Kluyveromyces lactis: one gene and its partner. The protein of the gene in region 2 purifies or fractionates together with the protein of the main gene of each other region. This does not show direct contact. Links are inferred from orthologs where the notes say so. Each region holds a gene or a part of one and is shown on either strand. Other genes may lie near its edges.

Region 1 (5,895 bases), on a different chromosome or scaffold from region 2:
AGACAATGGGGCTTCGCTGTGTCATATTTTTGAAACAGATCATTCCTGGATTTATACTGGTTATGCACACATGTCCACCTTCACTTCTTGAGCTCTACTTCCAACAGCTCAGTGTTTTGATTTCAATTGTGAAACAACACATCAGACTACATGTGTCTGAAATTGTGGAAGTAATCTCAGAATTCTTCCCTATCGTAAAGCTACAATTAACTATCATCTCGGTTATCGAATCACTATCAAGAGCCTTAGAAGGAGAATTCAATCCTTATTTACCTAATATACTATCTTTGTTTTTGGATGTTTTGGAAAAAGACCAGTCGAATAAGAAGGTTGTCTCAATTAGAATATTGAAGTCATTGGTAGTTTTTGGACCACATCTAGAGGAATATGCTCACCTCGTACTGCCAACTATCATAAAACTATCGGAGTTTAGCTCAGGAAATTTGAAGAAGGCCGCAATCATTACTATAGGACGTCTATCGAAAAATGTCAATCCACTAGAAATGTCGTCTAGGATTGTGCAAGCCCTAGTAAGAGTCTTAAATACATCAGAACTCGAGTACGTGAAAGCAACAATGAACACATTAAGTTTACTTCTTTTACAACTCAATATTGATTTTACTGTATTCATTCCAGTTATCAATAAAACTTTAGTCAAACAGAACATTCAGCACACAATATACGACCGTTTGGTTGCCAAACTTTTGAATAATGAGCCACTACCGACCAAAATTATTATTGATAAAGATTTCGATTTACCTAATAAAGAAATGGACGATGTAAAGGTAGCTTCCAAGAAGCTTCCTGTCAACCAACTTGTGCTAAAAAATGCCTGGGATTGTAGTCAACAAAGAACAAAGGAGGACTGGCAAGAGTGGATTAGACGGCTATCAATTTCTTTACTCAAAGAATCATCTTCTCATGCTTTACGTGCCTGCTCCGGATTGGCTGGTATCTACTATCCATTAGCTAGAGAATTATTCAACGCCTCATTTGCAAGTTGTTGGGGTGAACTTTACACGCAATATCAAGAGGATTTGGTTCAGTCTTTGTGCTCTGCTTTATCCTCACCAAACAATCCTCCTGAAATCCACCAGACATTATTAAATTTGGTTGAATTCATGGAGCATGACGACAAACCGCTACCAATTTCTATATCAACTCTTGGCGAATACGCTCAGCGTTGTCATGCATATGCAAAAGCTTTACATTATAAAGAACTGGAGTTCATTGAAGAGCCAACAACTTCAACTATCGAGTCCTTAATCAGTATCAATAATCAATTACACCAAACAGATGCAGCAATCGGTATTTTGAAGCATGCGCAGCAACACCACGATCTACAATTGAAGGAAACTTGGTACGAAAAGTTACAAAGATGGGATGACGCTTTGACTGCGTATAATAAGCGTGAGGCTGCTGGTGAAGATTCGATAGAAGTTACAATTGGTAAAATGAGATCATTACACGCCTTAGGTGACTGGGATCAATTGTCTGAACTTGCAGCAGACAAGTGGGCTTCGTCAAAGATAGACATTAAGAGAGCAATCGCTCCTCTGGCTGCGGGTGCTGCGTGGGGTTTAGCTCAATGGGATCGAATCGAGCAGTACATTGAGGTGATGAAACCACAATCTCCAGATAAGGCCTTCTTTGCTGCCGTTCTTTGTCTACATCGCAACAATTTCGATAAAGCACAAGAACAAATCTTTGCTGCCAGAGATCTTCTTGTTACTGAAATGTCTGCCTTGGTGAACGAAAGTTACAACCGTGCTTATGGTGTTGTGGTAAGAACTCAAATGGTCGCGGAATTAGAAGAAATAATTCAGTATAAAAATTTACCACAGGGTTCCGATAGACGGGCTATGATACGGAAGACATGGAACAAAAGATTGTTAGGTTGTCAAAAGAATGTTGATGTCTGGCAAAGAATTCTAAAGGTACGGTCACTAGTTATAAAGCCTAAACAAGATATGAAAGTATGGATTAAATTTGCTAATCTTTGTAGGAAGTCCGGACGGTTAGGTCTAGCTCAGAAGACATTGAACACTCTTCTGGAAGAGAGTAGTGATCCAAAGAATCCAAATACTGCTCGTGCACCTCCACCAGTTGTCTACGCCCAATTGAAATACATGTGGGCTACAGGTTCTCAAAAGGAAGCACTCAACCATTTAATAAGCTTTACTTCTCGTATGGCACACGATCTAGGCCTCGATCCCAGTAACATGATAGCTCAAAGTGTCCCACAGAATAGCAGCGTATCTCAGCATCACATTGAAGACTATACGAAGTTACTTGCTCGTTGTTTCTTAAAGCAAGGTGAATGGAGAGTCTCACTACAGCCAAATTGGCGCCTGGAAAATCCTGATGCTATCCTAGGTTCCTATTTACTAGCTACTCACTTTGATAAGTCGTGGTATAAAGCTTGGCATAATTGGGCATTGGCAAACTTCGAGGTCACTTCGTCGCTTACCCAGCGAATCAAAGATGACAAAGTTCTAACACTTGAAGACGCCTCTACGGAGTTTACCAATGGTGCCGTGGCAGGGCTTGGCGCGAATGAAAATTTCCCTCCAGAACTGGTCCAACGTCATGTCGTGCCAGCCATCAAAGGTTTTTTCCGTTCTATTGCTCTTTCCCAATCGAGTTCTTTACAGGATACGTTAAGATTACTCACTTTGTGGTTCAAATTCGGTGGTATTCCAGAAGCTGCACAAGCTATGCATGAAGGCTTTGGATTGATCAAGATCGATAACTGGTTAGAAGTTATCCCACAATTGATCTCCCGAATTCATCAACCAAATCAAACCGTTAGTAGATCTTTACTATCTTTGCTAGCTGATTTGGGTAAAGCCCATCCACAGGCATTAGTGTATCCATTGACAGTTGCCATTAAATCTGATTCGGTCTCAAGACAGAGGGCAGCTTTGTCCATCATAGATAAGATGAGAATGCACAGTCCTAAACTTGTCGATCAAGCAGAATTAGTAAGTGACGAATTGATCAGAGTCGCTGTTTTGTGGCACGAACTTTGGTACGAAGGTCTTGAAGATGCTAGTAGACAATTCTTTGGTGAACATAACACGGAAAAGATGTTTGCCACTTTGGAGCCATTGCATGAGATGCTAAAACGTGGTCCTGAAACCTTGCGTGAGATTTCGTTCCAAAATTCGTTTGGTAGGGATTTGAACGATGCCCACGAGTGGGTAATGAACTACAAGAGAACAAAAGATATCAACAACCTTAACCAAGCTTGGGATATCTATTATAATGTCTTCCGTCGTATTAGCAGGAAACTCCCTCAATTACAGACGTTGGATCTCCAACATGTTTCACCAAAACTAGCTGCTGCGAAAGATTTAGAACTTGCTGTTCCAGGTACATATCATGCCGGAAAACCTGTCATTAGAATTACCCATTTCGAGCCAATATTTACTGTTATTTCATCCAAACAGCGTCCTCGTAGGCTATCTATCAAGGGTAGCGATGGTAAAGACTATCAATATATTGTCAAGGGCCATGAAGATATCAGACAAGATAATTTGGTCATGCAATTGTTTGGTTTGGTTAATACTTTATTACAGAATAACCCCGAGAGTTTCCAAAGGCATTTGAACATTCAACAATACCCTGCTATCCCATTATCACCTAAATCCGGTCTTTTGGGATGGGTTCCAAATAGTGATACATTCCATGTCTTGATCAGAGAACATCGTGAAGCAAGCAAAGTTCCACTAAATATAGAACACAGAATAATGCTCCAAATGGCTCCTGATTATGATAACCTAACTCTATTGCAAAAAGTGGAAGTTTTCACTTATGCTCTTGATAACACCAAGGGCCAGGACTTGTATAAGGTTCTATGGTTAAAGAGTCGTTCATCAGAATCATGGCTCGAACGTCGTACAACTTACACAAGATCGTTAGCCGTCATGTCAATGGTAGGATATATTTTAGGTTTAGGTGATCGTCATCCAAGTAATTTGATGTTGGACCGTGTTACTGGTAAAGTTGTCCACATTGATTTCGGTGACTGTTTCGAAGCTGCAATTCTCAGAGAGAAATACCCAGAAAAGGTACCATTCAGATTAACAAGAATGTTAACGTACGCAATGGAAGTCAGTGGTATTGAAGGTAGTTTCCGTATCACCTGTGAGAACGTAATGATGGTCCTAAGGGATAATAAGGAGTCCTTGATGGCTATTTTGGAAGCCTTTGCATACGATCCATTAATCAACTGGGGTTTCGATCTACCGACTCAAGCCGTGATGGAACAGACGGGAATAGATCTACCTCTTGCAAATCCAAGTGAGTTACTAAGAAAGGGCGTCATCACCGTTGAAGATGCGGCCAAGATGGAACTACAACAAAAGGCAGAAGTCCGCAACGCAAGAGCCACTCTTGTTCTCAAAAGAATCGCTGATAAACTTACTGGTAACGATTTCCCAAGGTATCAAGAACTATCTGTGCCTGATCAAGTCGACAAGTTGATCCAGCAAGCTACATCAGTAGAAAACCTATGTCAACATTACATCGGCTGGTGTTCGTTCTGGTGATACCTAAACAAAAAGAACATCGCTAAAAGCATTATAGACTATTGAATCATTATATCTTCTTATACACTATGTATTTGTAAGAAGGTGCGTATACCTGTCATTATTTATCAAAATAAAAATCATACTCATCAAGAATACTTACCTTCATAATCCAATACCCGAGCTTGCCATTTGGATAGGAGTACCTTCAATGAATCTAAAGGTTGTAATTCTTCATCGAAGTGTCTAGCGGACAACACCCTGTTAATCCGTAGTTCGTCTTGAGCTTGCTTTAAGTCTGCAGCAACTTGAGGGTCTGCATTCCCATAAAGCGTGGTAAATAGCCTCAATTTACCCACAATTTCCCCTATTTGAAACCCATACTTAGCACCCAAGGGGAAGGTATCGTCAAACCCAGCTTGCAAGTTTTCCTCCTTCGCTGACGAAATACCATCTAAATACCCTCTTTTCGAATGTATTTGTTGAAGTTTCTTCACTTCTAGCGACTCTTGAGGACCGGTACTGGCCTCATTATCAGAGCCCCATATATTTTCCTCATCTGTCATCTCCACGGTCATTGGTCGTGAGGTTATGATCAATATCTTGGTCCTCTAGTGGACACCTCTTTATCATCTCATCGTGTACTCTGTATTTAATAAGCTTTCAACATTGAAAAATTCCCAGCTGAACCTTTAACGACTTTGAATGATAAGATCTTTTGGATTATAAAATATGAGAAATAAAGGTTTGTAAAGGGCCATTGAGAGCTCAAGAAGGTGTTGAGGCGCGATGTCTAGTGGAACGATATTCAAGAAACAGAAGTTGAACCCATCAGATGGTAAAGGTCAAGCAAAACCATGGGTTGAAAAGTATAGACCAAGGAAATTAGATGATGTTGCTGCTCAGGATCATGCCGTTACCGTCTTGAAAAGGACTTTACAGACTGCAAATTTGCCACATATGTTGTTTTATGGTCCTCCTGGTACTGGTAAGACTTCTACTATTCTTGCTTTGACGAAAGAGTTGTACGGTCCCCATTTATCGAACAGCAGAGTTCTAGAATTAAACGCGTCCGATGAACGTGGTATTTCGATCGTCAGAGAGAAAGTGAAGAACTTTGCTAGGCTCACTGTGTCTAAGCCATCAGAATCAGACCTTGCGAATTATCCATGTCCACCATACAAAATTATCATTCTTGATGAAGCCGATTCTATGACTGCTGACGCACAAAGTGCGCTGCGTAGAACCATGGAAACCTATTCTGGTGTCACTAGATTCTGTTTGATCTGTAATTACGTTACTAGAATCATTGATCCCTTGGCTTCAAGGTGTTCCAAATTCAGATTCAAAGCGTTGGATTCAT
Region 2 (7,343 bases):
AGGTGGATATTGTTCACCCATGACCCAACAGGACTGTTATCACTTTTTGGCGTTTTCCAAAGCCTGATCATTGAATCTCTGGGATCCATACGTCTGTCATACACCCGAATAGAGCCATCGGAGTAACCTGCAACAAAAATGTTTCCAGAAAACTGGTCAGAAGTTAAAGATGTGATTAAAGAGCTTGATTTCGCCGGTATATCCACTTCCACAGACTCCGTAAGCGCATCCCAGATACGAATTATTTTCACATCACCAGTGACTAGTAATGAACCTCTGCTCTGTTGCCATTCAGTTAATAGGCCTGTAGACCTAGGAGTCAATAGCAAATCTGTTAATCCTCTCCAAGAAGAAATCATAAATAGATCTTCAGTGTCATGGAAATCTTTGTAGATATTTACAATACCGTCTGAAGAGCCTGCCAATAACAACGGTGTGTCGTCGTCATTTAAAAACTTCATGTCGGTGATTTTCGTACCGAATGGATTGCCATTAGAGAATCGAGATAATTTTTCTTGAGTAGACCAATCATATATGGTAATATTGTCTCTATCGTCACTTGCCGCAATATAATTGTCAAATTGAGTGAATAAGAGTATCTTTGGTTGCGTCTTGTTGTCAAAAGTCACTATCTTGTGTGACCAGTCACCATATAGTGCCAGTTCTTTCTGTGACTGAGTTTCTTGGATGATTGCCTCATTTCTGTTTCTTTTCCATTCACGAGCGGTAAATTCAATGCTACCAGGTTCATCTGCCTCCTGTTTTTTCATTTGTGGTTCTTGGAAGTATTCACTACAATAGTTGAGGAAACAGCTTTCCAACGGTAAAGTCAAGGGTGTATCTCTCTTCCTATACATTGCGGGGAAAGCCCTAGGACTTGTCCCATATTCGATCCCCATTAAAGAAAGACCTTGTGCCATTTTTCCATTCCCACTACTAGTGCTCTCATGATCGGAGTATGAATCTTGGTCATTAGCAAATCCAAGTGCCTTCAGAATTGAATTCATAGAGAATACACGCCTGTCACTGACAGTATCGTTTCGGTAATGGTCATGTTTACCATTACTCAAACTTGCTGGTCTTCTTATTGCTGGTAATTTATTTGGGGAGGTGAAACCTTTGACGTTAACAACGCTTCTCTTCAAAATGTATTGTTCCATTTCTTTCACCATTTCAGCCAACTTACTGTGTTCATTTAGCTTAATGAGGATGTAATCTACTACATCTCCTGCAAGTTCTCTATTTTCGACAAATGGGTCTTCAGAAGAAATTAATAACGCTTTCCACACGGTATTGAATATGGAACCATGACCAACTGAAGTAGGATTTCTTGAGTCGTCTTCATGGCCATTCGTTTCTAGCGCAACTATTTCTGTGCTGATTTCAGTGAAAGCAATTACAGTGAAAAATTCGATATACCTTTCTACAACTTGAGATAAAAAGATGATCAATTCCTTCCGTACCATTGGACTACCATCGTTGACTAGCGAAAGGGTTGTGATAATGGTCTTAATCTCAAATTGTTTGAGGTTGCGTAAATTAATACTTTGCAATTGACTCATTGATGTTTGGACTTGTTGGGATTGTTGCTGAATTTGATAGTATTGTTGCTGTATGTGATGCGTACTATTCTGTTGATTTCCCTGTTGCTGCTGCTGCTGCTGGTTTTGTTGAGATTGCAAAAGCTGCAGCTGCGCTTGGAATTGTTGTAATTGTTGCTGAAATTCTTGTTGGAGTTTCAAGATAATGTTAACATCGTCTTCTTCAGAAAGGAAGTACTTGATTGCTAATAACGCAGCACATCTGATCTCTGGAATTGGATCTTTTAAAGACTCTATGATTGTATTCATATTTTCATTTTCGAGGCATAATGTCTTATGCAATGGATTGTGAATGTATAACTGACCAAGTAAAATGATACACCACTGTCTTAATAACGGAACTTCAGAATTTTCGATAAAGAAGCATAACTTGTTTACTAATTCAGTGCTGAAACAGTGTTTTTGACCAAGGGGGAAATCGCGAACAAAGCACGATAGGACAAATGCTGCCATTGCCTTTTGTTCATCTGTAGTATTATTGTTAGATAATAACGTCGCGTTATTATATGCTTGCTGCTGCTGCTGCTGTTGATACATCTGGTACCTCTGTGTTGAAGAACTTGCAGGTACATTCATAGTCAAGGGACTTCCAGCACTACTGACACTATGTCCTCTTGGGACACCAAACTCAGGTACAAGCATCTTTACAAAGTATTGGTATCCACGCTCCTTTATAAGTTCTGTTTGGGTATTTTTATAGTCAATAGAAAAAATTCTAGCCCAAATGAACACTAGAATTGGTTTCAACTCATGGGCAGGACTTTGTAGCAGTTTGGAAACATAAGGGAATATCCCAATTGAAAGTGATAGGTATACAGCCCATGGTCCAAGATCAAGAAATCTAGATAGCAGTACCAAAGTCCTAACACGATGGACTTGTGATAAGAGAACCTGTAGTACTATGGGGAGCTGCTCAGGTGGATGTCTTGAATTAGCCCCATATTTCACCCATAAATCAAATGCGGTTAAATTTTGCTCAAAAAATTTCGTAAATTGTTGCTGTTGTTGTTGAGAGGTAGTCGGGTGCGAGGCTGAATTACCGCTGGAGGTATGTGCTGTTGAACTAAAGTTTACCAATGACATGGAGCTCAGGTTTCCAATAGTATTTTTCGATTGCAGCCCGTCATTGGTTTCATTGCCTTCGTTTGGTTGGCTTATAAACTGTGATTCAGGGAAGTTTGAATTCTTTGCATTAGCATGAGCACTTTCCAGAAGTTTGGTCAATACTTCGTCGATTGCTAGATCCCACGATCTCCACATTGGATGATCAGCAATTGAGTCTGGTAACTCTGGGTCTGATACTGGATGACAATTGTACCAAGGCATTATTCTTTTGGCGAGTAAAAAGTTACGAAATAATGCCGCGACCATGAGGTCATGTCTGAATAGCTTCTTAAATAGTGCTCTTGGTAATGATGTCCATGCAATGGTATCTGTAATAGCAGTAAATATCCAATTCAATTCACCAAGGGGAGTCCTACGCTCAGACAATTTCCCCGGTATCGTAATGTTAGGCATTTCATTCACACCCGTCTCTTTTCTTCTAGGATCGTTATCTTGGAAGAACACGGAATATTTGGTGTCTTTCAAAGGAGATTGCATTAGAAACACCTTAACAGATATTTCTATTGGATTCGTTAGACAACAGGTGAAAAAATCTGCGGGTAATTCAGGGTTCATGGGCAATAATTCGTTGTTTGCACATGACGCTAATTGCACACATTCAGTGTATGCTTCTGTAGGTGAAGGTGATGCCATATCATGATTGCCTTCTCTATCGTCTCTCAATCTCTTTTGAACAAACTTTTTAAAGTTGGATACAATGTTACCAGCACTATTGCAATCCCAGACATATATACAAGGGGCTCCTAGCCAAGTTTGTAAATCATATAATGAAACCGGGATATACTGAGTATATCCACGGTTGAAAACCCAGATTTCTCCAGATGGTGTTGGTTGTGGTACACCATGACCGTTATAATGGAACAGAATTCTTTCGTCTTTCGAAGCCCTTCTCAATGAATTACAGAAGCGTTTCACATCTTCCACACAGGGATCTAAGCTCTGTTTATAACGAGTACGTAGTGATAGCGTCTCGTATTGACTCTGTAAGTTCTTTCCTATTTGTTCAATAGCTTTCTTAGAATCCTGAAATGCAAGGGGATCAACCCATGATTCAAGTCTTGCACATGGCTGAGTCTTAGTCACATCAGGAGGATCCACTCCCAAATTCAAACATAGTAATAATGCTGCTGCAACTGTCTTCTGCCTGTCCTTAACTATTTTCCAATCAGGAATTGGCTGGTAATATCCATCCTTATCCTCTTGCTTCACTTCCTCAGGAACTGGATTCCCATTGGTTCGATGCCTCTTATCATCGTAATAAAATATAAAATTGCTAGCATGCGCCTCCAAGAGTTTCTCACTTGAATACTGCTCTTCAAACCCATGTCTAGTCTCAGTATTAAGCCGTGTCAAAGGCTGTGGGCCGTAAACAACCATTGCTTCAGGATTGGTTCTATTCACAACTGGTTCTGATAAAAGTGGCAGTACCGGTCGATTCTGACAAAATTTAAACGCAGAAAATCGTACAAATAGTAATTACCTAACTGCTAGTCAATGAAGACTCGCTAAATTGACTTCAAACCCACTAAATGCTCTTCAAAAACCTTATCTTTCCAATCATTCCACACTTACTGACCAGTATCTGTATATGAGCTTACAGTATTTTTACGCAAACACTTTGAGTATATTGTTACCCGAATATTTTATATCAGGGTAACGTTGGGAAGATATCCAATAAAGTTATATCAACCACTTCAATACCCCCTCGATTGTAACCCAGATATTTAATAACCACAGTTTATCTAACTTTTACTGGTTTGCGCTTTCAAGTGCACTAAATGGGACCGTTATTGGATACTTTTATGTGTTTTTATTTTGATCTACGTTATAAATATGCAATTTCACATACCAAATGCTTGGTGAAATATTCACTTTGACAGGCGATGAGATGAGATAAGATCAAGGTTCATGCGGGGAACTAGTACTTATGAGTAGCCTGTTTTCATCTATTTCGACTGTTACAGCATTCTTTCAGGGTATCTGATCTATCACGAATATACTGCGTGCTCTTTATTCTCTGAGATGGCTTCTACTAATAATAATCCCAAAGTTCTATTGAAGAGGACGTTCTCACTGAAGGAACAATCTTCGCTAATACTATGTACCGATACGATGGCACAAAGCAGCCGATTTGTGGTTGAGGAATTCCTAGATAACATACCAGACGAAATGCCGATCGTTTTCGTATCATTTGAGACTCCAAATAGACCGAAATATGCACGCCAATTCATAGATGCGTCGGGGAAAACCACCCAGCAACTAGTTGCAGCATTACAACCATACCTACCGCAGCCACAGGAACAAGCTCCTAAGATGCATTTAGTGATCTTTGATACATTCAATTATATCGGTTCTGAAAGCTTGACACAATTCATATCTACCATTGCATCGCCATTTGTGACAATATTGGCTACATATCATCAGTCGATACCAGCCTGGCGTCCAGCAGAACTCCAGAACTATCCAACTGCGATCCAACTCTTGCAATTTATTGCTAATACGGTTATAGAAGTTACTCCGAAGACTTCCATAGACGAGGACGATTTGGATGCAGATTTAAGTAGATTTGTGATACCCAAGAACTTGAACAATCCCACATATTATATCACTCTAACGAACAAGCGAAAGTCCGGTAGGGCTATCAAGAATAAGTTCTTAATCAATTCGAAAACACATGATTATGAATATGTGATAGAGAAACAAGAACCAGTAACGGACGAAAGTCCAGAAATGTTTGAGGGTTTAACAACATTCAACTTGAACACTTCGGAGAAACAGAAGCTGGCAAAAGACCAAGTGGAATTGCCATATCTTGAAGCTCAATCTTTCAACAGTGGTGGTGCAATTGTGTATGAGTTTGAAAAGGATGATGATTATGACGAAGAAGACCCGTACGAAGATCCGTTCTGATCGCTAGAGTCTCGGGTTATTCTAGTTTCATTTAATTCTTTCTCGTGGTTGAGATTATCACAATTACATAGGAATTGTCTGTCTACTCTATATGTTCTATGTACTCATATAAGTGTACGCTTTGACAATCTGAAATGCTATTCATATTTAGCGCTTTTGATAATCTTGTTTTTATTTCCCTGTAGCATGTTTACAATCTTTGCTTTGACGCGCAACAGCTTTGCTCTAGGACCTGTCGATGCAAGTATCTTATCAGCTTCTTCCAGGGTTATCAGTTGCTTAGAAATTAGGTTGAATAGAGTACCAAAAGCTAGACCCATGACAGTAGATGTCAGAATGATGACATTGTAAGGCATACTGAAATCAGGAGTGGATAGAGATAAGAGTAAGGAGGATGTTCTGGCTTCATAACGTTCTGGTGTAAGTACTGCAGCAACAGCAGCTTCGATCTCAAAACCATGGTTGGCATCAGGGGGATATTCTGCATATTTAAGCAAGGATTTATCGAACTGGAATGATATAGCGAATGCAGTGTTAGGCGGGATAATCATTGCCCTTTCCAAATGTGTCGGTCTCTCACGATCTCTTGCCGGGGAATAGAAGGTAGATTTTACTACTGAATCTAGAGTTAGTTCAGGATCATCACTCTCTATGGCTAAGGAGGACAAGTATACTCCCATGAACCAAGGCAAGGATTCAAAATAAACTAATTCCACAGCTTCGTTGGAAGGATTACGAAATACTGATCTTAACCCGCCACGGTCTTGGCCATAACCAGTGAGAGCTCTGGAAACGTATATTGGAGTCTTTTTGGAGGGTAGTACACTCTTAGAGTCTGTCGTTTCCAAGCGAACATCATGTGGTTTGTTATTGTTGAGATCGAAACAGTTGTCGTCGGTTGCAAAATATGATTCGTCGACCTGTATCATAACGTCCCAATGTGAGGGAACGTGAACACATATTTTTGAGCTTTGTTCGCCAAGCAAGCTGCCTCCACGGATTTTCTTACCAAATAGTTTTGAGATGCTGAAACTAACTTCTTTGCTTTGAGGTAACGGGAAACATTGGAACGCGTCGTGTGGTCTATTCGTGTCACAACGAAGTTCGTCGCCTGGTAAAGGCTTCGGAATTGGTCTGTCAGCTCTGGCCAAAGCATTTGGTACGTTGACCACTGTTTCGATAAATTCTTCCATAACAAAGTGGCAATTGGCAGTTGATTCGTCACAAACAGTATTGACATCAATCGACAGACTGTGCCAATTTGAATCAAAGATCTTGTGGCCATCTAACAAAGAGGAGATACCAGATTTCCCTCTTGTTGGTAAAAGTTTTACAAATGGGGTCAAATTTTCAGTACAAACCGGTTCGTTGGCTAAAGTTGCTCTCATGAGGTAAAGATGGTTGCTTTGATTCAGTAGTGGGATCGCTTCGTCTTCTTTCGGTAAGAATGATGATACCGGAAACGTCGTCTTTGAAGTGTCAATGAAATTGATGGAAGCACAGAACAATCCACTTAACGAATTGGCCAACGTTATCCATGATTTCAACGCTTCTTCCTTCGATGGTGCTTCCACAATAGCCCATAATTCCACACCTGTTCCTCCAGATTTCAACCCGTTGTGTGGAAGCTGGCCCCATTCTTGTGAATCCCATAGCCCATGTGTAAATCTCAAGTGTAACTGTCTGGTATTAGTCTGTGACATAATG

What was found.
Region 1: the proteins of KOG1 (region 2) and TOR1 purify together in Schizosaccharomyces pombe (affinity purification with western blotting; 5 studies listed by BioGRID, with this or other methods). This does not show direct contact. The link is inferred for Kluyveromyces lactis from reciprocal best matches to the Schizosaccharomyces pombe genes mip1 and tor2.

Annotation. Positions count from the first base shown.
Region 1 is NC_006038.1:1,225,076-1,230,970, forward strand, and holds the end of TOR1 (phosphatidylinositol kinase-related protein kinase TOR1), read left to right. Parts: coding exon 1-4,553; downstream 4,554-5,895. Other genes in the region: YAE1 (Yae1p), read right to left, coding at 4,682-5,110; RFC2 (replication factor C subunit 2), read left to right, coding at 5,322-5,895.
Region 2 is NC_006037.1:827,682-835,024, forward strand, and holds the start of KOG1 (ubiquitin-binding TORC1 subunit KOG1), read right to left. Parts: upstream 4,104-7,343; coding exon 1-4,103. Other genes in the region: Elongator subunit IKI1, read left to right, coding at 4,749-5,636; GPI-anchor transamidase subunit GPI16, read right to left, coding at 5,774-7,343. UniProt on the Schizosaccharomyces pombe protein: Component of TORC1, which regulates multiple cellular processes to control cell growth in response to environmental signals. Tor2 is essential for growth. Nutrient limitation and environmental stress signals cause inactivation of TORC1.